Mytilus edulis: one gene and its partners. The protein of the gene in region 1 interacts with the protein of each later gene in a biochemical or structural test. Links are inferred from orthologs where the notes say so. Each region holds a gene or a part of one and is shown in the gene's direction. Other genes may lie near its edges.

Region 1 (10,166 bases):
TAAGATTTACATAGTGTTGTCATGAAACAGAAGTTCTAAGTGGACAGATATTATTGTATTGTTTATATCAAAGGTTCCAGGGGAACTTCTGTTAGAAGAAACAAATATACCTTGACAGCATTACTAAATAAATTACCTTTGAAGCAACATGAAGTAATGTGCCATCGTCATGGTAACAATTGTTCAGTACATTTGATATCACCTGATGATGGTCATCATCTAAAATAAATTGTAAATAATAATTATATATAAATCATAAATATATAATAAGTTTTAAACTTTCCATTCATGTTCTTAATTGAAAATTTATGAAAATGATAATTACATCCTCAAATTTAAAAAAAAAATCAAATACCTAATTTTTGCTACATAAATTGAAAATTCACAGAAATTTATCAAATATTATTCAACATGAAGGCAAGACAAAAAATGAAAAATCCAATGATATTGACAAATCTTGAGTTGTTTTTCATGAATGAGTTATACCAGATGACCCGAGGACAGAAATAAATGGTTAAGGTTCATCATAACATTTCTTCAAATATGGCTGTATATTTTACACCCTGAATTATACTCTGAGTATAGAAAAACCTGTGAAACATTTTAAGGCATGGCTGGACCACGATGAATAAAATTTAAGTACATTTTTCAAAATATAAAAAAACTGAACAGATTTTTATGTGTATTTTAATTGTTCCTGCAAAAAAAAATAAAAAGTTGGGAAGGGTTCGACAACTTACAGAAAAGAGCGACGATTTACAGAAAAGAACCAAAAAGGACCAAAAAGGACCAAAAAGAACCGAAAAGGACCGAAAAGAACCGAAAAGGAGATCAACGTTTTTTGTAATCGAAGAAAATTAGCAAATTGCAAATTATTTAAGTCTATTAAAAATGAAAGGATATTTTTGACAAAAGTTTATCATTAGGTTTTTAAACCTTATACTGCGACAGGACTGCATATAATAACTTACTGTACATGTGAAAAATTATAGGTAGGGTCGGATGCCTAACTTATGGAATAGAAAACATAGAACAGACAAGAACATATAAGATATTTATTCATTACTGTCAAACAATCGTTCTACGTTAATTGTATTTATAAGCTAAGTGTCATTATTTTGTCCAATCTCTGTCGCTAATTCATTTCGAACATTACAACAGTTCCTTATATATATTTTTTTGGAATGTGTATATATATTCAATTCATCAGTGAATATATAATAACACGGACATTCGTACAATCAGACAAAAAACAAAATAAAACAAAATATCGTGACGGAAAACTTTACAGTAGTTATTGAATAAATACGAATATTTCGTTCTTTTTTTTGTGTTTGTGTATTACATGAGGGAGGTAATGCCCTTTACCGTCAGGCGTCAAACGGTCATTTTCGGCTACCGTAAGCGTCAAATGTATAATTTTTTACCGTGATTCGTCCGATGTCTTAAATAATTATCGTTACCGTTATTTTTGGGTAAAAATAGCGTGATTTGTCAAATTCAGCTGATTTTTTTATCGTCTAAAAGAAAGTGTACATGTTATCGTCATTCACTAAAAATTATCGTTAACGTCTTTGGTTAGAATTTTTACCATTATACGTCATTAAGGTACCCCCATTCCTACCCTGATCTTACATGTTAAATGAAAACACATTAATTGTTACTTTGACACATTAAACCTGTCAAGGATTTGAATTCTTCAAGGAAAAGTCCCGCTATCTCCATGCACAAGTTTCTCAATAGATACATATACTAGCACAGGCCAACATTTATTTTATCACCATCTGACATCGTTTCGCTAATGTACATAGCTGTTTTAAATGGTTTATAAGATAAAATTATTAGAAATCAACAGGCCATTAACTTTTTCACACCCTTTAATCTATACCTATAAAAGAGTAAACAGTTATCAATTATACCGAAAGCGGGTGCGCTATTCATTTATCTATATTTCCTGAAATATGAAATGAAATGACTGTGATGTGCACAACATTTATAATATGTAGATAATGATGTATTTTTTTTTATTGATTTATCTCCTTTTATTCACATGTAGCCCAACGTTTTATACCGTAAATTGAATTAAGAAATTGAAAGGAACCAGGAACATCTTAAAGTCTGCCATGGTTTACATGTAGCAGGAATTGAAATTTTATTCAAATGTTTTTTACAATTCTATTTTCTAAAGCAAGAAAATGACGCTTTGATTTTTTTATTAAATATTTAAATGCCTTAATCTGATTCAGGGAAATCTAACTTTTTTTGTAAGTCTACATATCCCTATAAACGTTCAAAATAAATTTGAACTATACATTCCTTTATTACGAGGGGGAAAAATTGGTGTATATATATTAAATAATAATTTATATGTATGCTCTTTTCGGTTCTTTTCTGTAAATCGTCGCTCTTTTCTGTAAATTGTTGGACCGGTTGGGAAAGATGTTTCAGAACTACCCTCTACATATTGTAATAATAAATAGAGTGAATTGTATTGATAAACATTAAATATATAGACGATACAGGACAATAGACATATTACATGTACATGAAGATGTCTGCAAACAATAGGCGATTAAAAATGGTAGACAGAATCAATTGAAATGCAAGTGTTTATATCTTTTTAACCATCTAAAAGACTATGCAGACTAGAAAAAAATACACATAAAACTTGAGGAAGGTTTCAATTTTTCTGAAGTATAAATTGCATATAAATTTTACGTATTTGGGTTCATCCATCATGTCCATGCCATAATACTTTCTCGGATGCACAGGTTAAATTTTGTGGTGAAAACGCTGCCTTTATCATCAATTACTTTTTGGACAATTGGAAGGTACAAATGTAGCTGTAACCTGGGAACATTAAATCTTTAAACAAGAAATTAATCTGATACGCTTTTCAGTATAAAATTGATAAAATTTCTGACTCCCAGACTTGGCGAAATTGATGGATTTTGGAAGCGTCCGACTGAATAACTATCGGAACTGCTCAATAAATTAACCACATAATTCTAATCGTATATAAATTGTACAAGTTTTATCATAAAGTAGATATACTTTGTCATATAAAATGACCAAAATTAGTTTGATTTATTTGATGTGAAGTGTTTAATAATGGTTTGTAAATTTGGGAATGCAATCCAAGCAATTTTATTTTGACCCTGTATGCTCTCTTTACCATTCTGTGATTAAATGAATGTGATTTTAACAAATTTGAAGTGACAGAATACAAGTTTGATACACTGCAATCACTATCAAACTAGTTTGAAATACATTTTATTGATATTATCAGAAATTATTAGGATAATAGCGAGTATGTTTTAACACATGTCTGATTCAGTATTGTATCTTTATTAACTATGACCTGACAATAAAATCGGCTGCAAATTATTTGGTAGTGTCAAGTCCGGTCAATATATATATGTTCCTGCTGTGACCTAATTACATACATTTAAGCATTGTGACTGACATATCGGCTTTGAATCCTCATCAGTGTTCCAGCTAGGTTTTCAAAAGGGCAGGGTGCCAATCCTGAAAAAGGGCATTTAACGCGCGATATGATAATATGAAAAGGGCATATTTTAATAAAAGATGTTAATCAAACATTTGTGTTTATTCGTTGAATCACAGGTTATACAAGAACAACATCTTTAGCCCATATAGAACTCTATCTTTCTACTTTTAAGGCTGAAAAACTTGTCAAGCAGCTTGTCACACAAGTTTTTTTATCATTGCTTGGCACAGTTGAACTTTATATGCAGTATGTTTTGAAAGGAGATCAGTTTCATACTGTTTCTATGGTCTACCACATTTTACCAGTTTCACCTTTCTTCCCCTGCTGTGCTTGATGGCAATACTGCACAAAACAGCTGTGCTCAGTAAATTCACAATTTTAGGATATAAAGCAACAGTGAAAAATAGTATCAAAAATAAAGAATACAGAAAAAAGATGACCAAGGCACCCTACCAACACTGCTACTAAGACCCTCTTTAACTTTTCCCATAACTCAAAATAAATACCTAAACATATATATTCTTAAGCAAGAAGTACATGTTTGGAGACACATTTTAGAATATGTAAATGGGTTACTCAATGCTAGGAAAAAAATCAGATTGAGTTATCTTTCTATATTCGGGTGTGCTCCTTCTTTGGAGGATTATAAACAGTACGTAAATATGATGTAAATATGATCACAATATGGTGGCCGATTTTGTTATTTTCGTATCAAAAATGAAGGCAGTCAATGACAAATACGTCTGAATTTTCTGTTTATTTTACAGAAAACAAGTAAAACAATGTCTTCAACCAGTTTATAATACACCTTATCGCTAATCCCGGCTGACCCGGCCGCTTGAACTTTTGACGTCAACAACAATCACTTTTCCATTGTGGCGTCAGATATTTTGTTTTATGACGTCAACATTTTACGGGAACCTGTGTGATATCCAGCAATGGCGGACAAATAGTGATAAGGTGTATGGTTTTCCAACTTTCTGTCATTACGTTTCTTCCATGAAACTACGGTAAACATCACAAATTGTGCCCAAGTTGTTGTATGCACATTTCTTCAAAGATAATTGCCGACTGACCGATTCTATTTGAACGAATTAATGTTGATGATCATTAATGACCCATCCGATAAACGGATTACCTATAACAACAGATTATGACACCAGTTGTAACCATAGATTAGCTGGGGGTGGTAAACAAAGTCATAATCTTTTCCCCAGGTAAAATTTAGTAATTAGCGTATCATATCAATACGCAAATTAATATGCAATCGATCTTCAAAAAAAGGCAGGGCGCCCTGGAAACTGTAAAAAGGGCACAGGGCGCCACTCCAAAAAGGGCGGGCGCCGCGCCCTCTGAAAACGGCCTAGCTGGAACACTGCTCATTAACTCAGAGCAAAAAATGTAGCTTTCCAAGTTAGGAAACACAAATTACAATTGGACCTATAAAAAAAGTTTGTTATAATTTTTAGAACAATTTTGGTGCTATGTTAGAACTTTTGAATCCACCCTCTGACGATTATCATAACATGCATACTTTGCTCTATTGTTGATATAAAAGCTCGTAAAATATCTGTTCTGTCATTTTCTACAGCTATGTGAAGTTGTTGAATTATTTCTAACTTTTCTGTCATGTTTTCGTGTACACCGGAACCGCTTTCATGGACTCTCGGGATTTATCTTTGAAATCTTTGTAGGGTGCCGAAAGAATAAAAAGAACTTGCTAAAATTAGTTTTCCTTGCATAAGCTTGAAGATGAATAGACTACTACGATCTACAGTGTCCTTGTTGAATACTGAGAACAGGTCAACATATTGTCGTCTTCTTGCATATTATTCACAAAATGCTGGAAGCAAAGAACACATTGACGGTCTTGTCAAAGACAAAAAAGTTGTTTTATTCATGAAGGGCACCCCTGATCAGCCCATGTGTGGCTTTAGCAGATTGGCAGTGCAGTGTCTAAATATGCATGGTGTTGAATTTAAAGCACATAATGTTCTTCAAGACGAAAGTTTGAGACAAGGTATATTTGAAAATACGAAAATATATGACCAAAAACAACTTTAAACAAGAAATATTTTGTTAATTTATGTTTTGACAAAAATTATTCACATAAATTAAAATTTATTAAAAAAACATTTACCAGGCATACGCCGGAAAGTAAACATCAGTACGTTTATGGTTTTCTGTAACAAAAGAAGAAGAAGAAGAAGAAGATTTTAACAATAATTTAGAATTTTTGTATTACATTCTTATGCAACAATTAAAATTGATAAAAAAATAAAGTAAGTTATTCAAGGACCAGTAGTGTTTTACTACGCTTTACTACGACAACAATCGAAATCTCACACTACTTCATCTCGTACTAATGTTAACTGATACCAGGACAGAAGGATAGAGTCAAATAAAACAACACTTTAGCTTGGTCATGTTGGTTCGCATTTTTACAACTATTTTTATTAACACAAAGTCAGAGTGACAGAAAGATTGAAATACCTCTTTATCTTGAAGTTTCATTAAAAAAAAATCTCACAAAAGCAATGATTCTAAACAGAACTTCATTCTATACATTTTATAAGAAAATAGAGAAATATGATTTGAGGGTTCCTAGGAATTTATTCTTGTAATGCTCTGTGTTAACGGCCATACCTTGACCTATAATGGGTAACTTTTATAAATTGTTATTTTTGATTGAGAGTTGTTTCATTGGCACTCATACCACATCTTCCTACATCTTTAAATATAATATACAGAAAAAAAAGATTGCTCTAATACATACATGTATGACATATATACATGTATAATACTTCAGATGCAGTATTACATGTATAATGAATAAGAATGCTGAACTGCTTTCGAAATAATATCCAAAGTACATGTATATAAACATGTATAATATAAATACATTTGTACCTTATATATACTGCTCTACCACAAAAGACATGAAAGCAGCAAAAATCCGTTCTTTTAGATGTGAAAGTTAAAGAAGTCTGGTATCTTAACATACAGAGAAACCTATAATTATCATAGTCCGTCATGTTACTCAAGTATACAGTTTTACAATGTGTATGGGTTTTGTGGCAATGTCTTTGATCTTTTGGCAAACTTTAAATAATTACCATGATCATCACTTTGATTTTCTTTGGTTTTAATTTTTATCATGCTTATGTTAGGACAGACCCACTCATCTTTATTTGTCAGATTATACATGTAGCTCTTTTGACCTTACCCAACAATAATATCAAAGATCTTTTCTAGTCATAAAAAAGATATGCAGGAACATATGAGTTAGTTGTTAAAAAAAGACTAGTTAAGTTGTCTCAGAAAGTCTGTGATTGGTTGCCAGGACATCAAACTAACATAACTATATGCAAAATGATATGTATGGTTTTAAACTTTTAATCTTTTTTTTATTCCAGGAATAAAAGAATACAGTAACTGGCCAACCATACCCCAGGTTTATTTAAATGGTGAATTCATAGGAGGTTCTGATGTGTTGGTGGAGATGCACAAAAATGGGGAACTTGTGGATGAATTACAGAAAATTGGAATCCGATCGGCTTTGTTAGATCATAAAGACAGTTCTTGAAATCCTAATGGCTGACATTGAGAGAACAAAAAATGATATTTAGACAGCTTTGTACTCATCACCTTGTTTTTTTCATAGTTTAACTATTGTGAATGTATCATAAAACTACAATGCAATGTTTTGTTAGTATCATGAATGTTAAACATTTAAAAAAAAAAAGAAAAAAAAATGTAGAATGGAAAATTTGAAATATTGCAGTAAACAAGAATAATTTTAAAGATTTGGATGTCACATTGAAAGACATTACTGTTATAAAAAAAAATCTGACAGAAGTATTTTCCTGTCTCTGTCATGTCTGTGGTAATATTATTAAGAATGCAATGTGAATTGTTTTTCACACTCAGTTTTTTATTGTTGATTGCCATATTAGTTATAAAGCATGTGTCCTTTAAATCTTTCCTTTTTGCTTAATAAACAAGGAGACATATATCTTGTAAAAGTGTTTAATCTTTTTCTAATGTGAAATCATTCAAAATGTCTTGGTTTTTTTTCTAGTATCGATATTCTTATTTTAATACACTGTATACTTCATTTGTTTTCTTTTCTATAATGGAAATCTACAAACAAATTTACTTCATAAGATCATAATGTAAAGTAATGTTTATGCAGTTACTGTGTGATATTTACTTCTAAAAACAGCAGTCAATACTGAATATTCAAGAGTAGGAGAACTATACCTTCTCAGAAGTTTCCATGGGAGATAATTTAAAATAATTATTTTTTTTGGAGATATTAATCTTATCTCCCTTTATTTGAGCTTAAAATCTAAAAATCATTGATCTTTTTTGAGATATTAATCTTATCTCTTTTAATTTGAGCTTAAAGAATATTTCCCTTAAGTATTTTAGAGATTAAATCAAAGAAAACTTTGAATAATTCAAATTATGCACAATTTAAGATAAAATGATTCAAAAACTTAAATTTGGACAATTTTTAGCAATTTAAAAATTAATACTATTCATCATCTTTTGCATGGCATTTAGTGTAACAATCTCTATAGATATTTTTTGAATTATTATCAATGAAGTGGAATTAAAGCCTAATAGGATTGTAAATATAACGGGAAGGATTGTGCCTGATGTTCATATGATGAAATCATAATCTTTCAGTCAGTTTAATTGAAGTCTGGAGTTGGCATGTCAGTTAACTGCTAGTAGTCTGTTGTTATTTATGTATTATTGTCATTTTGTTTATTTTCTTTGGTTACATCTTCTGACATCAGACTCGGACTTCTCTTAAACTGAATTTTAATGTGCAAATTGTTATGCGTTTACTTTCTACATTGGCTAGAGGTATAGGGGGAGGGTTGAGATCTCACAAACATGTTTAACCCCGCCGCATTTTTGCGCCTGTCCCAAGTCAGGAGCCCCTGGCCTTTGTTAGTCTTGTATTATTTTAATTTTAGTTTCTTGTGTACAATTTGGAAATTAGTATGGCGTTCATTATCACTGAACTAGTATATATTTGTTTAGGGGCCAGTTGAAGGACGCCTCCGGGTGCGGGAATTTCTCGCTACATTGAAGACCTGTTGGTGACCTTCTGTTGTTGTTTTTTTCTATGGTCGGGTTGTTGTCTCTTTGGCACATTCCCCATTTCCATTCTCAATTTTATAAAAAGAAGATGTGGTCTGATTGCCAATGAGACAACTCTCAAAAAGAGACTAAGTTACGGTTTTCAACAATGAGTATACACATTCTGCATAGTCAGCTATAAAGGGCAGAAATAACAAATGTAAAACAATACAAACGAGAAAACTGACAGCCTCATTTCTGAACAAATTAACATACGAAAAACAAATATGTAACACAGCAACAAACAACAAACACTGAATTACAAGCTCTTGATTCAGGACAGGCATAAGGCAGGGTTAAACTAGTTTTTTGACGCCAAACCCCTAACATGGGACAGTGGTGTAATGGTACAGCATAAGGACAAACAATGCAAAACAAGAAACATAAAACAAATATGAAAAAACAGCAATAAAAAAACCCAATAACCAATCAATTACAGACTCTTGACTTGGGACAGGCACTTATACATTGTTGTCAGATTAAGCTAGTTTGAAGGCATCAACCCTCCTGGAAACTGGGACATTGGGGTTACAGTACAGCATAAGACAAGCTATAATTAATGTTGAAAAAGACTCAAATCACTAGATGGATACAAAAACAAAACACAGAGTGGACGTGACATTTGTACATCGCAACAGCAAAGAGACACCAAGTACAGAACTGGGAATACTCATAGTTACTGACATCTATTTTGAAGCCAAAAACAACTAATAAAAGAAATGTATCTTAGACTAAAATATCAATCAGTCGAGTTCACATCCAACATCCAATGGATGTAGTGTAAAGACATCATGAACAGTCCGAGAAAATGCCAAATACATGAATTGACAGATTAGAGAGCGACAAATGTTGCAGAATGCCTGACATAGGAATTACAAATTGCGGCTGAGAAGAAAACTATTTGCAGAAAGCATTATATTACATGACAGTAGAAGACATTGATGCTTTATACCTTATATGCAGATACCTAATGCTATGAAGTTTCTGTCTGTCATATATCCATTATCTTTGACCTTATTTTCATGGTTCAGTGACTGCTTGGAAAAAATATAGTTTTATGTTATGTGAATTTTACACTTTAAATATTAGTAATATGAGAACTATATTTGGTGTATGGGTTCCTTGCAATGTCCACATGTCCATCAGTTAAGGTTCTCTTGACCTCAAGATTCTTTCATAGATCAGTGACCAAGATTAAAGTTATGTAATTAGGTTCATTTCTCAGACTCTATAATCAGGAGGTGTATTGAATGATTGTATTTAAAGGGTAGTATATTAGTCTTGCAGATATCATCTGACACTGACTTCATTTTCATGGTATATCATTTTTTTGTTAAGTGTGTTTTCAATTCTGGTTAGCAGGGTCAACTATATTTGGTGTACGGAATGATTGCATGGTGTACATGTCGATCTTGTTTGTATATATCATCTGGCCTTGATTTAATTTTTATAGTTCATTGGTCAATGTTTGGTTTTTGTGTTTTAGCAGTTTTTCATC
Region 2 (10,760 bases), on another chromosome or scaffold:
GTATATAGGTTTTGCCATCAATGAAAACCATTTCAAAACAACATATGTTTTCGGTACAACTTCTAGGGTTACAAAGGACAAGGTTCACTATTGACACAAAATGGCCTAAAATATCAACTTTATCATATAACATCAAAAAGGTCACAATTTGGTTCGTAAATGGGTCCATTTCAAAAGTGTTAATTTTAAATACATCAGTTCTTTTAATAAAAGTACATAATATTCCACAAAATAAGCTGATTTTGGACATTTTGTTAAAATATGATTTTGTGCTATTTTCAGACCTAAAAGCTAAATGGAAACACATTGGCCACCACCTATGATCAAAAATGTGTTGTAACCAAAAGATTCCATTTTGATATATTATTCATCAATATAAAAGCTTTTTTGGATCGTGGATGGTTGCCAAGTTTAATTAGGCCAAAAACAATTAAAATTATTGGAAAAAAGTACCAAAATTGACCTTTAAATACAAACAATGTTTATTTAAGGGGTCATAGCTTCATAAATTGTAAAGGAAAGTGCTGGAAAATATATTTTTGTCTTAGTGGTAATAGTATTATCACTAGTATTTCAATTTGAAATTTGTAATTTTTTGGCCCGATTTATAAAATATAAAAAATTTAGCGCCAATTTTAACCCTTCGTGAACCTTCTCCTTTGTTTAAAACAGATCTTAAAAATATCAGTAAATTTTTCTACCTGTCAACGGGAATTCAAACTTCTTTGAGTCATCATTTCATCATGTTGATATTGTCAACTTACTCTGTGCTCTGAACATCACATTATCAGTGGCTCCTTTTTTCAAAGTACGAGAAGTGTACTCGTCACATATTTTGAACTTAATATCAATTACTGGTAATCTAATTTCCGACATCTTTTGGTTATTCATTTTGTATAACCACATATAAAAATTCCCTCTTCCAAATATGTAATGTGTAAGCAGTATGCAGTATTATAGGACCATACAAAATGGTGTTGCATTGTGGACACATCTTATTCTAAATGCTACTGGAAGGCCCTGACAAAATTTATCAGGACACTAGGACTGTGCAACATAATTTATGATAATGGAACTAGCATTTCTGAAAAGGTCCATTATACATGAAGTTTTATAAATCTAGCTGTCAGTTGATTTTTTCTTTTTCATAATGAACATGTGAATGGTATGATTCCCAGGTAATGTTGATCCTGCCAGGGTTGGTGAGTCTCCTTCAAATGTTTCTAAATCTATCTCTGTGCTCTCTAATCCCCATTTCATCAGTAGGTACTCAATACTTCTAGAAGAACTGTAATCATAAATATATATATACTTCATTGACAAATTTACTCAAAATACAACTTTAAATTACATTAAATGATTCAATATAGTGTAATGTAAAAAAAGTTGTTGTCTTGTGGTATGATTGCCAATGAGACAACTATCCACAAAAGACCAATGTATAAGAGTTGAACAGCCTTCATCAATGAGCAAATCCTATACCATATAGTTTAAGTAAGTAAAAGGTAGACACAAAAAAGTTAAACAATTTAAAAGAGAAAACCATGACCTTATTCAAACTTTTAACATTAGGAAAATAAACAATTACAACAGACAGCAACCAAAATAAACCAATGGGTTTAAAGCTCCTGTCTTCAGACAAAAATACTTATATGAATATTTTGTCAACTGACCATGGCTTCCCTTCATCAAAATAGATTGAGATGTGCTAATAATGTTCTCTGAGCACCTCTTACCCTTAATTTACTTAATTTTTGCAAGGATTGTAGATAAATATAATATCCTTTTCCAAATATAAAATACAATTTTATTATCAAATTGAATTGTGAAGTGAATTCCATTATGCAGCCACATGTTTTTTTTTATCTGTTTCCTTGATGTTGTTAATTTTTATCCATGTTAGCAGCTTTTACTGTTTTTCCAAGAAGATCTAGTAGAGCAGCCAACAACTTATTTTCTTATTTTCCTAGTGTTTTGACTTTTTCACAGAGTAAAACACTGGTTACCTTCTTTCTTGATAAGTACACCAAAACTCTGTACTTGGTCTTTTCTTCATTATAAATGCTACCGTAACTATGATGTCTTCAAAGTCTGGAAACAATAAAACAAATTATGTCAATTACTATTAATATCACAAGACATCAGCACTGTTTTCAAAGTTTTGCTACTCACAATTTTATTTGTCAGAAAGATAGACAAAAACTAAACAGGAATGTGTATGCATACTTTAACTGATAACAAAAACTTTTTTGAAATTCTCTAATTTTTCTTGAAATAAATATTTTACATATATATCTTAAATTCAATCATATTTTTACATCACTTTGTAATTAATGTTAGTGTCAATATAACCCCAAATTACACTATAAATACCATTTTCCAACTAGATTTCTAACCTTTAGTATCAAAGAAACAGTCAGATCCTAAGATAATGTCAACAGGTTGAAGATTGAGTAATTCTGGTGTGAATTGTCCCCATTTTATACCAACCACTGGTATATTGGACAGATTATTTGCTTCACATGATGCAGCACAATTCGCAAGGCATTGTGGATATTCAGAACTATCACTGAGAATGACTGTGGCTTCACATTTGGCTGCTACTATCCCAGGAAGAGAAGTTCCAGCACCAATCTGTAATCCATAAAAAAACAAATGTGCAACTTAATATTAATTAAATTCTTAACAGCGTTAACTAAATAGCAAATTGAATTAAATATTTAATTGTTTTGTTTTTTTCAATGATAGAATTATTTAATCACCAACAGTTATCCATGTCTTCATGGTAATAAAAGTTTAAATATTTTCCTGAAAACTGTCTGCTGATAAAAACAGAAAGACAATGGGATACACTGCATATAATGAAGTTATCTCCCTTTTAATATATCTCATTTCATTCATTTCTACCACCTATGATAAAAGCTAAAAGTATAAATTTCAGAATAAGTTTTTCAAAAATTATCTTTATTCTTAACAAAATATCTGAGCTAAATTTGTGTACGGTTTCTAACCATTAATCATCTTTTGTATGATTTTAAGTAGAGAGGCACTTAAAAAAATGCATTATCAATCACATTTTTTAAAATTCAGATGAAACTTCAGATGCTTTCAGAAAACGTCAATTTAATCTTAGCTCAAATGATTTGATTATGTCACCTGAAGGATATTTTTGTTGGTTTTTTTTTGTGCAAAAAAATTCCACTTCAGGAATATTTTCCATCTTGAAACATGGTACAAAAGCATGAACAGATAAATATATATAATAATATACTTCCTGAGAATATTGTTTTGATAAAGAGGATTTTGCTCCATATTTCTTCTAAGCATATCTTCTCATATGCATGTATTGTTAAAAAACTTTTAACAACATATCTTTTTAAGTAGTTCATATCTTCTGTTATCAGCCCAAGGTAGCATTTGATACATGTTTGTTTTATGTTTCATTTCAAATCATTTGGGGTAACTGCAATTGTGATAACAAAGATTTTTTTTCTTCAGAAAACAATCCCCAAAAGGAACACATCTAATGTATTGACCTCAAGTATAGTTTTGCCTTTGAGTGATGCTCTGTGGTACCATATATACTGTGCTAATACTGGTGAACATGGCCACACATACATCCCATAGTTACCATCAAGAACCTAAAATAAAAATTACCGGGTATGTGCTATATTTCTATTAAAATGTGAATGTGACTTTGTCTCTCACATATATATACAAAATTTATGAGGGTTTGCCAGTTGGGTGGGTAGCCAAAAATAAAATGTACACACAAATTGTAATATATTTGCTTTATAATCATGATAATACAATCAAGTTTCTAAAACTAATTTATAAAAAAGTTAGTACATGGTTTGCTGGTCGGACTACAGAATGACAATATGTGTATGAGACCTTCAATTGAACTCTATAATTATGTATATTCAAGAACATGCTTACATGGGAGGGTTGATAATCTGTGAATTATAATTACTGTAACAGATGATACAATAGCAAAGTGTGGTGAACTTTATAACACAAATTTTGAAGAGACTTGAACTGACCCTGCAGAGATGATTTTACAGCAGAGGGATGCTACGAGCTTCACAATTGTGAATGACCCAAGACAATCTGCAATTGAAATCTTGTATTTTCATCATTTTGCTGCACTTTCAATTATGTCAGGAAAAATTATTTTCAAGAGAATCATATCGATCATGTTGACTCCCAAAACACACAAGACCTGGGGATTTAAACCAAGAATTCAAGAACCCAAAATAACATGAATACCAATGTTAGAATAGCAAGGGATGTCAACTTTTTTGTTATCCTTATTGCAAATTTCATAGTACACACCAGGACATCAATCATTTTTTTATTAACTCTGATGAAAGAAAAATTTGACAAGTATTTATAACCAATATCCCAATTGATACCAAGTACATTGAAGTAAGGCTAAACCATGTAAGCTAAATCATTACATGTGCTAATTCCAATAAAAGAATTTTTGCTTAACTAATTATACATTTCTTCACTCATGTCACTACAAAGAAAATGGTATTGCAGTTTTTTTTGCTTAAATTATATTTGCAGATTTTTTTGAGCTAGCAACTTTGATTTAAAACATGTCTTTATCTTGTTTCCTTCAAATGTATATCATAATAGTTATCAAACATAAATATCAAATAAAAAAAAATCATTTATGTAGAGTAGGGCGCTCATATTTGCCGTGGACACAATTTGGCCGTTTTATGATTTTGAGGTGTAAAAACTTCAAAGGATGGTTGAAATTGAAGAAATATGCCGGTAAATTATATTTTTATAACAAATATGATAATTTTTGAAAATGAGACCACATTTCGGCACTTACCACAGAGAACCGAAAAACGGACAACGATTTTCAGCCAATTTCCTGAATGAAAAAAAAAACATTTCAAAGAGGTATCTCTTTAGTAATTCTTTGACTGATTGCTCTAAATTTCAGTTTTTTTTACACCTTTCAAATTTCTGCTATTTGTCTATAATGAAATTTATTTGATACATATTGTTTAAAGCTGCAGTTATTTGGTTTTAATATAGATGTGTAACAACGGCGAATATGTGTTTCCCGTTGACAAAACATCAGGAAATTTCAAACACCCTTTAATCCAACATTTCAAATGATTTTTCTCAAAACAAACACGTTTTGAAGCTAAGAATATTTTGCATTTGAAGTTATCTTCATATATAGAAATATCAGTATACTTCAAAAACATAATTTAAGGACCTGAACATAAACTGAAGAAAACATGGAAAGATATGGCGAAAATGAGCACCCCACTCTATATGTTTCTTGTTTTAATAATATATTAACAAGAATGTGTCCTCAGTACACGAATGCCCCACTCGCACTATCATTTTCTATGTTCAGTGGACCGTGAAATTGGGGTAAAATCTCTAATTGGCATTAAAATTAGAAAGATCATATCATAGGGAACATGTGTACCAAGTTTGAAGTCGATTGGACTTCAACTTCATCAAAAACTACCTCGACCAAAAACTTTAACCTGAAGCGGGACAGACGGACGAACGAACGAACGGACGAACGAACGAACGGACGGACGGACGAACGAACGAACGGACGCACAGACCAGAAAACATAATGCCCCTCTACTATCGTAGGTGGGGCATAACAATGTAAAATTGTATTCATAAGCCTATCAATACTGGTCACTGTGGTGCTAAAAGTAAAATAAAATAGATAAGTGAAAAAGGGGGGTGCTAAATTATGCAGAATTGTTATATAGAAAATGGTATGCAAATCAAATAATACAGAACACAGAAATGATACCTCAGGAATACAAACTGTACAATTTTCTGAATCACTACTGAATTTGAAGAATTTTTCAATTTTCTGCCTCTTGGAAGAAGACATGCTGACGTTCTAGATAATGACATTTGTATGAGCCAATAAAATAGTGTCTTTTAAACCCATACCAGGTCAAATTATAGGTCGTCATTGTCAAAAGAGACATGACAGTGAAGGAAATGTGGAATGTTAATTTTTAAAATGCTGAAAGGTAAACTATAAGACTATGAAAAAGATCTACCAATATAATTAACCCCTTCCCTCCCATCACCCCCTCAAATTCCCCCAAAAGTTAACATTTTGTCAAAACAAACAATCAAAATTGAAAAGTGAAATTAAAATACAGAAAATAAACAAATCAAATATAAATCGCACATTTGCTGACAACTTAGGAAGAGTTTCTTTCTTTTCCTTCTAGTTCTTAATTATGAATAGCTTGCTATGATACACCTTATTGATATTCACGGCTGACCAGAGAATCTGTACTGCTTGAACTATTGACGTCAACATGCTGTTGTTTTTTATTTGGTCGGGTTGTTGTCTCTTTGACACATTCCCCGTTTCCATTCTCAATTTTATTGTACAACAATTTCTTTTCCATTGTGGCGTCAGATATTTTGTATAAGCATTGTGAAATGTAATGGAAGATGGATGAATGTAAAAAGTAGTTTAATAACAAAAAAATATTTCCCAGTAAAATTGAATGAAAAACAAAAAGCATAAATTTGACCGAGCATCCCCTTAAAAGTTGTACCAGTGTCATAAATATAAACAGGATAAACATCTGAATAAAAACCTAAATAAAGTCGTCAAAGGAATGCAATTCAATTGTAAGCTTTTGTATAATAGATGTCAGAAGAAAAATTATGTTACTTCAAATTGAAAAAAAATATTCATATGTTTTTTTAATATAACTAAATGGCTAGTTTTTATTAAAAAAAACTTATGTACTGTATATTTGCTTTTTTCTCAAGAAAATCCTATAGTTCATCCAAATTTAGAATAAATTTACTATTTTTTAAATTGCTTGCTTCCAGTTAACAATTCACAGATATGTTTTCTGTATCATGTATGCAGTGAACTCAGTGTGACCTTTTTTGTAAAAGTGATCCAGTGATTGTAATACGCATAAATCTGTCATTGAAATAAACTATTTCTTATTGTTCATGTTATACATATGCTCAATATCCATGCTTCTTTGTTAATTGTTTACCTTTACTATAAAGGTGACAATAGGCAAACTACGTCTTCAAAACACAACAAAGTATTTAGCTGCCATCTTTTCACATCATAACAGACCAAGAGAAATTATTTTTAACGATTATACTATATGGATGTGTAAAAATGATGAAATTGTGCACAGAAGACTAAGTTTATGATGTATGCATACATTTGCTCAAGAATTTGATTAACATTACTGTTCACCAGTCACTCATTTTAAATGACTTTAATTATTGTATTACATCTGTTTTCACTAATACTGAATAATTTTTTATTTAACTTGGTAAAATAAGGGGAGATAACTCAAGATAATCGAAATTGAATAAGGAATGTTCAGTAAATTTACCTATTTTGTTTTGTTACGACTTGTGACCAATATAATTCTATCATGTAATAAAAGATAAAGGATGTCTTCCAATGCATAACTCCAGTTTGTCAAATTATTATTTGATGCTTTAACACTTTTCACTAAAATATGAATCCTTTTTTTCTAACCAGTTTAATCTTGAAATAAGTTTGTTATAATATTTATTGTTCATCTCAGATAATGCTCATCATGATAATTGCAGGTTTTGAATTGTTAAGTTTTGCCTTGTCTTATAACATCCTGTTTGCATGCTTTATTTCCCACTGGACACTAAGTATTCAAAGTCTACCAGAAAGGAAGTTCTAATAGTAATATTTTTAAAATACTATGTAGCTATTTTCTCATAAGTTCATACTTGTGAATAATTCATTTTAGCCAAAACTAATGTAGTTTTTAAGGACATCTAATATAATATTTTCTGTGACAACTTAACTTCTGTCATGTGATGACATGGATCGCTATGTGAATACATGGAGATCTGGAAAAAAAACCCCATCAATACAGCCTAACAATTTAACAACTATCCAACAATTTTTTAAATTAAGTATCATCTCAGCTCTGATATAAACATCCTAGTAACATGACTCCAGTTCACACCCAAATTAACATATGAGCACCTACACAGTACAATCTGTTCTAAAAGGTTATTAGTCTTGTTGTGAATAATTTGATTAGAGATGAAAAAAAATATGACAAAAACACCTAACTCTCAATTAGAAAAAAAACCATGATGAAATAATAGCCATGTAAACACTGACAGAATTTCTGATTTTGAACAGACTCATTAGCATGTAGCAAGATTAAGCTAGATTTGTTAGTAATCATCCTGATTTTATTTTGATAATAATTGAAGTATAAAGGGAAAAATGCTATACTATTCATTCATGTCAAAGCAAATCAATCAATTATATTGTTAACTTATTCAGATGTTTTGTGGGTTCTTGTTTGCCATATTCACATTTAACATTCCACATCACTACAGTGATACCTATACCAGTGTACTATATTTTTCCTTTTTTGTAGGAATAAGGAGGTTGTCGCAGAATTACAAGTTGAATTTCTGTCGTATGTCACAAATGGCTGATTCTGCTGTGCAGGTAACTTTTTGTTATAAAAAAACAGTTGACATGTTGTAAAACAAAGGGTATATTTGTTCTGACTAACAGAATTTCTCCTGGAAACTTTTTAGTGTACAATGTCATAATATCTGTTCCTGTTGAAACAAATATTCTATACCCCTTATTCTGTAAGAAACAAATACTATTATATTTATTCCATTGGAAATAATAATACAGAAAATTTCTTCCACTTTGAACCTATATTATGAAGGAACTTCTAATCCGTGCACTGATACCACCCACATCTTCTTGTTTATAATAACCTCTTCAAATTGTTACCTATACCAAGCAGGGTATTTGGACTATGTGTGATATTTTAATGTTTTTTATGTCTTTGTAAATGTGTTATTTTGAGGTTTTTGTTGTTAATGGTTAATGTATTCTCTTGTTTTATGTTGTAGATATTTCATTCTTTCTAAACATTTTAAAGGTTTTTCTGTTTCAGAATCAGTTAACCATATACAATTTTACATGCTTTATTTTGTTCTTGAAATTAGTTGTTCCTTTTGGAATTTTTATTGTTAACATTTTATTATAATTATTCATGACATTTTATCTAAGTACTTGTTTTAATGGAACAATTCAAAATTCCCTTTTTATGCATGGCTGTTTAAATGTTTAGTTTCTAACTGATTAACTCAATGTAAGCCGGCACTGAAAATCATAAAATGATTAATAATTGTGAAGTCATATTAAAAGAAAAGGAGTTCATGTTATTGCCATTGATACAGCTTTCCACCTCAGTTAAAGCTCTCAAGGAAAATGAATAAACGGAAATACTCCAACAAACCATTAGATGTAGATGGCAATATCCCTGATGGCAAAAAACGTATAGGTCACAGAGACTCATGATGAAAATTATAAGATGACCAACAGTTAAAATATATCATTTCAATTTTTCTGATAAGAAAAAGAAACACAAATTATATTATTAATGTATTTGTGTGTACAATTGGAGTGTTCTGTTACTTAAACAACACAAAGGAGTAAGTTCGGTAAGGGCCATATTTGGCCCCGATTATAAAGTTCAATGTGACAAGACAAAAAATATTTAAGTTGACTTAAAGACATGAGAGAAAGTTAAATAGAACTATTTTTGTCAAAGTTTAATTCTAACACGTTGATTTTTACATCACAAATAGGTCAAGATAAGAGATTTTTGTGAAATTTGGCAAAATCGGCTGGATTTCAACCAAATTTAGGACAAGGAAACATAGAGCGCAGCCGTCGACAAGCTAAATATTCAATTAAAACATGTAAAATGTCTTCATAAACATTATTTCAAAAGATCTTTGTTGCGATGTATGCGCTCTATGTTTCCTGTCCGATAATCAATGGAAATTTACCCATTTTCTTTGATTTTTTTTTTGAAAATTAATATGAGTACAACTTGTGACGTCATTATAAAACTCAGGAACATTTATTAGCTATAATTCATTGTGATATTAGTCAATAAATTCTAATTTGAAATTTACGCTACAAATGGGGGCCATTTTAGGACCTTACCAAACATACTCCTTTAAAACCAATAAAATATAAATATCCTTATTTACAGCATGTGATCCCTATCTTTTAGAATAATATTATTTTTTTGAAGAAACCAGTGGAAAGTTCAATTACCAAGAAATTAACAGAAGGACTTAAACCACAGCATCTAGAAGTTATAAATGAAAGTTTTATGCACAATGTACCTAAAGGTAATAGGTCAAACTACTAGTAAGATATTTTTTTTAATTTTTATACAAAACCAACAAAACTAGGATGAGACTCTCATCTGACATGGAATGTTTTGAGAGTTATAATCTGGAATTTGGAAATAATGATATATATAGAAGAATGTGTCCCAAGTACATGGATGCCCCATCTGCACTATCATTTTCTATGTTCAGTTGACTGTAAAAATGGAATAAAATCTCTAATTTGGCATTAAAATTAGAAAGATCATATCATAGGGAAGATGTTTACTAAGTTTCAAGTTGATTGGACTTCAACTTCATCAAAAACTACATCGACCAAAAACTTTAACTAAAACTTTTAACCTGAAACGTGACGAACAGTCGAACGGATAAACGAACGAACAGACGAAGAAATGGACGGACGGACGGACAGACCAGAAAACATAATGCCCATAAATGGGGCATAAAAAGAAAATGTGGTATGATTGCCAATGTGACAACTATTCACAAGAGACCAAATGACATAGAAATTATATAGGTCACTGTACGGC
Region 3 (10,796 bases), on another chromosome or scaffold:
CAATTTCAAATTTCAAAAACATACTTCAAATCATCAAAACTTGATTTTAATGCTAAAGGTTCTCTATAACATTTACAGCCATAGGTACATGTATAAATGATTTCTTCAGACAGTCTTATGCCTAAAGAGCCTCAATACCAACAATAAATGTAAAATACAAGTTATTTCATGGCCATGGTGTCTCTTATTTCAGAGGCTTTGGTACGACCTGGACAATAAACTTTTAAAATTTTCAGCAGATGTAAGGTCCAAAAGTCCTTAAATCAATAGGTGTAAAAGGTTTAGTACCTAATTTTAATGTCTCTCAAAAGTATGGAAAAATATCAATCTCCAAGGTATATAAAATAAATGGGGAATGTGTCCTGGCAATTGACACAGATGATGCCCCCACTTGCATATAACCTTATAAAGGGACATAACTCAAGAATGGAAAAAGTGACGGCACCACAATTTGAACTTGATCTGAGTAATAGACATTGTGTACCATAAGTTTCATAAAATTTGGTTGAGGCTAACTTTAGAGAAGAGAAACAAAAAGTACAACATTTTTCCCTTTGTAAAGGGACATAACTCTAAAACAATACAAAGAGACACCACCCAAATTCAAACATGATCTTTGTTTTTTGTGGTTATAAGCATTTAGTATAAGATTCATAACATTTGGTTGTGGCTAACTGAAGTTAGAGAACTGTTTGGGACGTATGCACAGACGACACAGGTAAAACTTAATGCCCCCTCCTCTACATGAATAAAAAAATGTTTTGGATATAATGAAAGAGAGTGCCCTTTGAAACAGTAAGAGTCCTAATATATTATAGACAGCCCACCCTAATAAAATTAATGTACAAAGAGAATGTCATATGTAATCACTTATCATCACACAATATTTGTACCTTGTTTCCTGTTTCTGAGGTAATTTCAGATGCTGTTTTCTCTAATACATCCATTTTCCTGAAGAGAAATAGAAATAAAGAAATAGAAATAGAGAAATAGAAATAGAGAAATAGAAATAGAGAAATAGAAATAGAGAAATAGAAATGCGATAAAATGTTATTTAACATGTTTAATGCTTTCACAAATATGACTATTATACATGTGACATATCTTATTGTAGATGTTTCTTTATCAGGCAAAACAACAATGCCATGCTCACACTTTCACATTTTATTGTTCAGACAGTAAACCTTTAATCTTAGTCAAAACCCTAATTTTGCATATATTTAGACAGTTTACTTAATAATGACTTGTGACAGTGAAATTGTGTACTTAGTTTCAAGTTGATGTTACCACAAACTAACATAAACCAAATTTTATTCTATTACATTTCCAAGTTGAGTACACTGTGAATTCTAGGACAAAACCCTAATTTGCATATACATAATGTATATTTTTTTAAGATTCAAGTTGATGAGAACACAAACTACTTCATGTACATTAAACCACAATTTTAATCTACTTTAAAACAAAATTTGAGTCTTATGTTGGACGCATGCAATGACTGTAAAATTGATGCCATTCTATCGTAGGTGGGGCATAATAAAAAGGTTTTAAAGCAATTAAAACAGCAGAGGGAGATATGTGGGCATTTCACAAAATTTCATTGTTCAAGTACAAAATGTAAAATTTAACATTCAATTTGAATTATCTCCCCTTTTCTATTAACCCATGCATATCCCTGTTACACTTGCAAATTGAGGTTCAACAAATTTAACATTTGATTTAAAACCCATGTAAATTAAAATAGCATCTCATTAATATATAAGGCCCACAATGCCCCTTTTAAATAAAATTCTGCTGAAATCTTCTGATACCTGAACCACAATCAATGTATCCAAAGTAGATATAAACTTTTAAATACATATACATAAACATGAAAGCGACCTGCTTGATATAACCACTTGAGCGCCTAGTTTAGACAACATGGTAGCCATTCCTTTCCCCAGTCCTGTTCCTCCACCAGTTATAAAGGCTATCTTCCCATCAAAGGTTCCATTGGGTAACATCTTTCCCATCTGGGCAGGGAACATTTTGGAATGCTCTTTAACATGGCTGACAGGTGTTGTGGAGAATTTCTTTATCTAAAGAAGTAAACAAAATTAAACTGAGAATGAAAAAAATTCCATTTCTAATTGTAATTCTAATTCAGACTATAGCTAATTGTACTGAATATACATTTGTATCAATTGTGGTTTTTCTTCTGTGGATGGAGCAAATCGTCGCTGTTATGCAAAAACCTCATATCTCAATTTCTGCGGAAATCTTTTTATCGATTATTTAGGATTAAATATGTATGTTCCACTGTATGCGAAAATATCTGATCTTCTAACCAATCATTAATCCAAATTCTGACATGTGACGAAAAAGTGTTGTCGGATTGGTGAGACATTTTGTTGTGCGAAAATATCGTATCTCCAAAGAAAAACACTTTCCACGGCAGCTGACATTATAACAGGTACAGTTTTATCAATTTTAGGTTCTCAAAGCTAATATATTAGCTTAAAAATAATGAAAAGCTTTGAAAATACAATATAGGTGCAGAAATTTTTGCTCGTTTTGGTAATTGATTGGTTAGAAGATCAGATATTTTTGCATACAGCATTGTACAGTGGAACATACATATTTAATTCTAAATAATCTATAAAAAGATTTCAGGTTTTACTGCCTGATGTAAAATTATCAAAACCTTAGATACGAGGTTTTTGCATTACATGTACTAAAAATACTAAAAAGCAAAACTTAAAGTTAAAAAAAAGAAAAAAAAAGTAAAAAAACTCCATAAAATTTATCAATGTCTTTTTACAGGTACAGTGTTAAATGCCTTCGAAAGATCCAGAATAGCAATGTCTACCTAGTTTGCCTTGTCGTATGACTGGAGCATGTCATGGATTGTGATGGCAAGTTGGATTTCACAGGAATTTTCAACAAACATTCTGTTCAAATAATATTTATAAACATTATGCAACTAGACAACAATAAGAGAAAATTAAAAAAAAAAGTTGATTGGAGTAGGGCAAACTGACCTGGATTCCAGGAATATCCAGATCTGAAGCCATGGTTTAAAGAGGTCAATACATAATGCTTTTCAAGATGTTAAGCATATGTCTGCATGTAATGTGCTCAAGTATGAAAAAGCTATTTTAAGTATTTTTTTTTTATCTTTTTTTGGTGGTAGTTTTTCATGTTTTTCATATTGCTTCTCTCTTGAGATATTGTCTCTAGAAACAAAGAGCTCACAAGTTGTTGCCAACTTATACATCAAAAGGTTCATAGGCAAAATTATTCCAAATAATTATGACCTCTAATAACAGGCTATTTAAATTTTTTGCTTTACGCTTTCCTGCAGTGATATTGTTTGCCTTAAATTACTGGAGAATAAAGGCTTTTTCCCCTGGTGAAAAATCCCAATTTGAAAAAAAAATGGCTTAAAATTATTCCCAAAAAGACAACATTTTTCCCAAACAGTGCAGTCTCAGTAGCCATTGTGCATGAATTCAAACTGAAAAACACTCATTTAAACATTTTTCTTGCCTAGAATGACTATATGTACAGATTTGAGTGTCTATTCATGTCTGATCACTGACAATAAGAGTTTTTATTTCAAATGAGGGTTTACCTCTTGAAAGAGGGTCCTCAAATTGAAGTTCCAGTCAAATTCATGGTTTATGATAAATTTCCCAATTTGATAAAAATGACGCATATTTTCCCAATAAAAAAGGGTAGAAGTAGTTTTGAAAAAAGTCAACAATATCACTGTCCTGTGACATTGCTCTATTAGGTGTAAAAGAAAAAAATATATAATACTGTCACTGCGGATTCATTTATTTTTGTGGGTACAAATTTTTGTGGATTAAGGAAATCTTACATGTTTGTGAATATTTAATTTCATGGTTTTGCCGAAGTCTAAATAAAAGGCTATAGAAAATTTAATTTCATAGTTCACCTGTTCCTACGAAATCCACGAAAAAATTGGTATCAAACGAATAATAGTGAATGCTTAGCCAGTAGCATTTCAAGACGTCACAATTATTTGGACTAGCAAATTAGTCTAAATAATTCTGACTTTTAGCATGTTTAGGAAGCTAATTTAAATTTTTGCTTTGATGCCTTACTACTTGGACTAACAATGACTAAGGCAAAATAGCAATAAAACGTCTCTAGATTGGTGTTTCAATTATTGATTTGATACTGCTGTTCCTCAATCCCAATCTTAACCAACACATACTAGTTTAAAGCACAGAGAAGAAAATACACAAGAGAAAAACGCACCAAAGAGAAAACCTGCACATTGGGACAATTCGTGCCAACATGTCTTTAAATAAGTCTTATAACTTAAGATTGAGGATAAATTTGAGGATACAGGGGTTAAAAAATTTTGTTACAGCTAACTAGCCCAGGACTTATGGCAGCAGGTTTTTTCTAGCCCTGTTGGAAGAACTGCTAGTCCATCAAAACTGACCTGCTAGCCCTAGTATGCCTTAAAAATCAAGAGTTTGCAGCATAAAACAAAGTGGGTGTCCTTTGTTTTGAAAGAGACATTATACACTGTATTTAATATTTTTTGTTGAATTGCTATTTATTGTTGGTGCTTAACCTAACTTAGTTGTTCCCACATTCAAAGCAGACTTTTTATTGGCATGCTTTGGGCAACTAACGGTAATATTCACAGAGCATCGTCTGTTTTTTTCATCAGCAACAGCCAACCTTCGAGGGGAATCATTGTATCCCAGTTCTGCCAAATTCTCAGGAAGTAAATGCGTGATTTTTTGGCCAATTGTAAAGATCAAAGAGAAAAAACAAAGGAAAATGCCGCCAAATAAGCATGAAAATGTGTGAGTCTCGACCTAAAGACTTGGCAGGTTTGCTGTCTTGGACAATATAATTTTTTTCCCACTTTTCCCGGTCGTATTTTGCATTTTTGGGGGATGATTTTTCAGTCTCGTTATCCCCTCCATCTACCATTTTTTGTTTTGAAACTGATGAAGTTCATAGGGTGTGTGCGACTTGGCAGCCCTGCTGTCCTGGACACTCTTTTTTTTTCCCGCAGCTTTTCCCTATCGTATTTAGCATTTTTTGGGGATGAATTTTCAGCCTCGTTACTCCCTTCATCTACCGTTTTTCGTTTTGAAACTGACGAAGTTCCTGGGGTTCCCGTACTAAAATATTAAGAAATAATTTGTTGCATGGTTTCGTGCTCAAGAGCTTTGCGACAAGATAGGTCAGTACCGATCAATACATCATATCCCCAAATACCGTTAATTGAAAATCTCGGCATAAGCAATGTACAATACCCCAGGCCATGGTATGAGAAATCGATATTTAAAGTACGAGAATTGCAATCAACACATGATACCGGGCCACCGAGAGTTATTTGTTCTGTTTTTAAAATATGTACAACAGGACCTGTACAAACCAGTTCAAATTCTTGGAATCCCTAATGACTTATTAATTGAATCGGATTGGCTAACATAAAATAGTAATGAAGGGATTTTCCACTTTTGAAAACGTCAAGATTTTTTTGTTACTAGTCCGTCGGGCATATCGGGTTACACATTTTAATTGCCCGAGGCATAAATGATCTAGTCCCGGGCGTTGGGCTAGTGGATTTTTTAACCCCTGGGATAGATAAATATGTGTCTATAAAAAAAAAAGTGGATGGTTCTCAGCCACCCACCTAACCTGGTAAACATACAAGGCTCTAGATAGGATGTGTGTTTTTTTTTTGTCAAATTGTTTAAACAAAGGATTTGTATAGTACAATGTCAATGTATATAAGATACTAAGATTTTTTTAAAATTTAGCATACGAAAAGGGTCAAAATCTGGGACAATGAAAGCCCTGTGAATGCTTTAATTATTCATTTTAACGGTAAAAAGAATCTAAAATATAAAATATGTGTCAAAGAGTTAAAATAAACTTTTTCACCTTGCAAACTTTGTTCCATAATACCGAGTCAAGTTTAAAATTTAAACAAAATCTTGCACTTCGACTGGGCGCTGCCATTTTCTACCAAGGATTTCCGAATTAGCCCTGAAACCAGAAAGTGCATTTAGAGTAAAGGGAAGTGGATTGGTTAGTAGGTACCAGTCCGTTAATCAATTCGGAAGATTTGTTTAGAGGTGAACGTGAAATGTTTCGAATATTTCGTCTTACACAGGTAAAAGCCCTGAAAATAGTGAGAGAAACCTATCAGAAACGTTCTCTAAAAAATTAAACCTTGGATAAACCCAGATAAAGTGCTCACGAAGAGGACACAATGTGGTTTCGAACGTTTCATAACGAATTCTAGTCACTTCGACCCCTGTTTAAACATGTTAAATCGGAACCTGGACCAATCGACACTTAGAGGATTTTTCGGCACCTAGTTAAATCGGGATTTGGTTTAATCGCCACCCGGACCTAAGTGGACTTTTCGCACCTAGTCAAATTGGTACCTCGTTTATTTGCCACCTGATTGTTAAATTTATAAAGAAAAATAATATTTTATTCTACAGTATAATCATGATAATCCGATTTTAAAAATATTCTGTTTTCCATATTTTATTAATATTTTCACTCCAATTGTCAACAGATACTTAGGACCCCTTACATGGACCTAAAGACAAACTGACAAATAAAAGAACACAAAATACGAAATAGAAAAAAAACTGAACACGAACCCCACCAAAAACTGAGGGTGATCTCGGGTGTTCCACAAGGGTATATTTAAAACATTTGTAAAAGCAGAGCCTTCTCCACATGTGGCACCTGTCATGTGCAACGTAAATGGGTTTTCTGTGTGTAAACATATTTTTCATTTGTAATCTGTCTCATGACATTATACCCCGCTAGCTCAGCCGGTTACGTTACTGGTAGAGAGGGTTCGGCCTGTGCTTTCGCTCCAGGACTTCTGACAGCATACTGACAATACAACGAAACAGTAAATTCATAAATGACAGGTATAAGAAACCTAAAAATGACCAGTGATGATGATTTGCCAAGCAAAGCATTTGCTCATATAACAAATGACCAAAATTCATAAAACAGTTTCATATTTAATAGACAAAGACAATATAAGTACATAAATATCGCGGTATCTCCATGTGAAATTATCAATTCAGAATTTCAATTCACTTTCGAACTTCCCCTTTTAAACAAATGATGCGGTGAAAAATACCCATTACCAGTTAACCAATTCAAAGAAGCGTTTGGCCTTAGTGCTATCTAATTGAATAAAATAATATGATACTAGAATTTTGAGGTGTCCGTTTACTTAAAATATTGAGAGCTGTACACTAGTCATCCTTAACTAAAATATTATCCAATCAATCAAGTTGTGACGTCAACCTTCCGAGACAAAATAATTATACCACTGGTTCCCACTGACTTTTTTAGACTAGATCATGAACCTCATTATTCTATGACTAGGGAACAAAAATCGATCCGGTAAAAAAACATCACATTTCTCTACCCATTTAATTTTCAATCCAACCAGAGCAATGTCTGAAAACGTTTTTCAATATCATTGACCAGTTGAAGATCCAAAACTAAAACATGCGATAATACAAAGTTCTATTTCAGAGTAAGGCACGAACAATTCCGTAGATTGACGACTGTTACTCCAAAATACCCCTCGGATTAACCATCTGTCTAAATATCGCTATCAAAGTGAACTCCATCTCTTTATAAACCCGAAATCATAAAGTATCTAGCTAGTGTACAATTCCCTTTATTTATTCTGGAACAGAAACGTAATTTGATATTTTTAGAACTGTTTGAATACAAGACGGAAAAGAAATATATCAAATGAGAAGAAATAAATATTTAACATGTTTAAGTCAAACATCAATCTAATTAAAAACCGATCTCTCATCGCTCCTGTTTCTGATATGTCGCGTGGGAGATCTAACGAAACCGGCTTTGAGGTCACATGTGAGTGAACTAAAAGTCATGAATTTATAAAGATATGCAAATGAGTTGACGACCTATTAATAAGCCAATCAAAAAAGTTTATGAATTATTTTGACTGACGATTTCGTCGTAAATAAAATGAGTTACATCCCTTTGCCTTACGTTAAACTTCCAAGATCGTGGAAGACTCAATTTCATTGGTCGAAAAAGACACACCTACGAGGTCACTCACATGTGACCTCAAAGTGGGTTTCGTTAGATCTCCCACGTGACATATCAGAAACAGGAGCGATGAGAGATCGGTTTTTAATTAGATTGGTCAAACATCAAAATACAAAATAAAATGAAATTTAAAGTACAACTTACCAGTACGGAAGTTTTCCCCAATCTAAAGAAATACTGCCCTGATGAGGTTTAAATATTCAAGTCTGGACATTGAGTTTCAAGCACGAGAAAAACGATCCCCGTGAAAAAGTAACCAGACAACTATAGTATATATAGTATCTAAAAATAGAAAAAGGGGAATTTACGATGACCCACAAACGTTACACATGTTGCTAATGTAATTACAATCCCGGTAAATACTAAAATAGTCCTATTGGTAGGTCACATTCGTGAATAGGGAACAAACAATGTCATTGTCAATTTATACAAATAAATCATATTTGATTCTGTTTATTCCATTTAGAACAAATACAGTAATATTTGACATTGTTGTAGTGGAAATATGATTCCAGAATGCTAATTCAAATGCATTAGAAGTATTAATATTTTAAAGGACCTTCTGTTACAATATATTATAGTTAATGAATATTTTGATATTTCTACATGTATTCTCTGATTTCTCTGTGAATTTACCCATTTGATCTTCTTTCATTGAAAACCGCTTTAAAATTCATTAACTTTATCCTTGGTTGCTACATGTATAAGCAATGATAAGTACTTTACAGTTTTGTTAGATGGTTTCCTTGAGGTTCCCATTCTAAGTATAAATATTGGAAAACTACTCTCTAAAAGTTGTTTTCACAAAGACATTGATGGAAGCAGATCAAAAAGCTTGGAAAAGAAAAAAGTCTAAAGCAGGCAGAAGTTTAGTTTAATAAATGTCACGGAACAAAACATTACATCAGATGTTGTTTACCTTTATTTGATTCTCTATATCTACAGTGGCAGATCTAGAAATTTTTATAAGTAGGGGCCCGCTGGCTGCCTAAGAGGGGCCCCGCTCCCGTCACGCTTCAGTGATTCCCTATATAATCAACCAAATTTTGTTCTCCCTAAATCCACCTCTGATCTACATGTATTTATGTTTTAGTTGACAACTATATATATGTAGGTCTTTATGTATTTATGTTTTAGTTGACAACTATATACATTGTATATGTAGGTATTTATGTATTTATGTTTTAGTTGACAACTCTCTCTATCTACATCTATTTATGTTATAGTTGACAACTCTCTTTATCTACCTCTATTTATGTTATAGTTGACAACTCTCTCTATCTACATCTATTTATGTTATAGTTGACAACTCTCTCTATCTACATTTATTTATGTTATAGTTGACAACTATATATATGTAGGTCTTTATGTATTTATGTTTTAGTTGACAACTCTCTCTATCTACATCTATTTATGTTATAGTTGACAACTCTCTCTATCTACATTTATTCATATTATAGTTGACAACTCTATGTAGATCTACACTCAGACATAGATGTACAGAGGCAAGCACTTTAACTGAAGGAGAACAGAAAATTGTTAATGTACTCAAGGAGAAATTTCCCAAGGCTTCAGACATACAAGCTTTAGATATATCAGGTAAAATTTCTTTTCTTTTGTTCTGTCCTTCAGATTTTATACAATATAAAAAAGAAGATGTGGTATGATTGCCAATGAGACAACTGTCCACAAGAGATCAAAATGACACAGACATTAACAACTATAGGTCACCGTACTGCCTTCAACAATGAGCAAAGCCCATACCAGCTGGTCAGGTGTCTATAGTATAGAGGCTATGCAACAATCATTTTGATAAGGCATAACAAAGGTTAAAAAGAAAATGTTATAGAAATTAGTTAAAACTAAATATAAAAAACTCTGTATTACTAGTATGATATCAAATAGTATTTTTTTCCCTATATTTTAGGAGGATGTGGGTCCATGTATAAAGTTTATGTAGAATCAGCAGAATTCTCTGGACAGAGAACATTGAATCAGCACAGAATGGTGAAAGAGGTAATGAATATCTGTTATAGTAACCTTGTATAGCTCTAGTTTGTATCTATCAAAACATTAGTTTGAGGGGTTAATCAGGCGAAACAATAGTAAAATCACAAAAATACTGAACTCTGAGGAAAATTCAAAACAGAAAGTCCCTCAAACACATCAAATGAATCAACAACTGTCATATTCCTGACTTGGTACAGACACTTTCTGAAGTAGGAAATGGTGAATTAAACCTGGTTTTATAGCTAGCTAAACCTCTCACTTGTATGACCATGATGACAGTTGCATAAAATTTCACAATCTCTCGTAGTCTCAAGTCAGGAGCCTCTTATTCAGTAATTGTTGATGTATGATGTACAATGTATTCCAAAATGGATTTTCGTTGATTGTTTGAAATGCTATCAAAACCTTATGCTACTGACTTGATATCTAAATCTTCCAAGGATTTATATCACTACCTTTTTAATACACAAAATATAGTGCATTGATCGTAAAATTCTATACATCTTATCCATGAACTTTTCTAGAAAATTTATCAATGTAATATATGCTCAGATATTCAAGTCACAAAATAATGCTACATCTGTCAAGAAAATTACATAACTTTTGCAAGGTGCAGGAATCTAATACCTCTTCTTAAAATATAAATGATGTCATTGTTAAAGTCATCTTTAATCATT

What was found.
Region 2: the proteins of uncharacterized monothiol glutaredoxin ycf64-like (region 1) and DNA-binding transcriptional regulator BolA-like form a complex in vitro, tested with the Homo sapiens proteins (2 studies listed by BioGRID). The link is inferred for Mytilus edulis from reciprocal best matches to the Homo sapiens genes GLRX5 and BOLA1.
Region 3: the proteins of uncharacterized monothiol glutaredoxin ycf64-like (region 1) and bolA-like protein 3 form a complex in vitro, tested with the Homo sapiens proteins (4 studies listed by BioGRID and IntAct, with this or other methods). The link is inferred for Mytilus edulis from reciprocal best matches to the Homo sapiens genes GLRX5 and BOLA3.

Annotation. Positions count from the first base shown.
Region 1 is NC_092346.1:25,938,278-25,948,443, reverse strand, and holds uncharacterized monothiol glutaredoxin ycf64-like, read left to right. Parts: upstream 1-5,206; 5' UTR 5,207-5,263; coding exon 5,264-5,531; intron 5,532-6,927; coding exon 6,928-7,097; 3' UTR 7,098-8,140; downstream 8,141-10,166. Other genes in the region: uncharacterized protein, read right to left, coding at 137-219, 5,046-5,142.
Region 2 is NC_092352.1:33,327,295-33,338,054, forward strand, and holds the start of DNA-binding transcriptional regulator BolA-like, read left to right. Parts: upstream 1-5,920; 5' UTR 5,921-6,013; coding exon 6,014-6,038; intron 6,039-8,438; coding exon 8,439-8,512; intron 8,513-10,130; coding exon 10,131-10,230; intron 10,231-10,760. Other genes in the region: histone-arginine methyltransferase METTL23-like, read right to left, coding at 1,120-1,288, 2,007-2,091, 2,397-2,634, 3,537-3,641, 5,810-5,893. UniProt on the Homo sapiens protein: Acts as a mitochondrial iron-sulfur (Fe-S) cluster assembly factor that facilitates (Fe-S) cluster insertion into a subset of mitochondrial proteins. Probably acts together with the monothiol glutaredoxin GLRX5. May protect cells against oxidative stress.
Region 3 is NC_092348.1:96,083,452-96,094,247, forward strand, and holds the start of bolA-like protein 3, read left to right. Parts: upstream 1-6,041; 5' UTR 6,042-6,127; coding exon 6,128-6,154; intron 6,155-9,569; coding exon 9,570-9,708; intron 9,709-10,036; coding exon 10,037-10,125; intron 10,126-10,796. Other genes in the region: 2,4-dienoyl-CoA reductase [(3E)-enoyl-CoA-producing], mitochondrial-like, read right to left, coding at 894-951, 1,882-2,078, 5,923-6,000. UniProt on the Homo sapiens protein: Acts as a mitochondrial iron-sulfur (Fe-S) cluster assembly factor that facilitates (Fe-S) cluster insertion into a subset of mitochondrial proteins. Probably acts together with NFU1.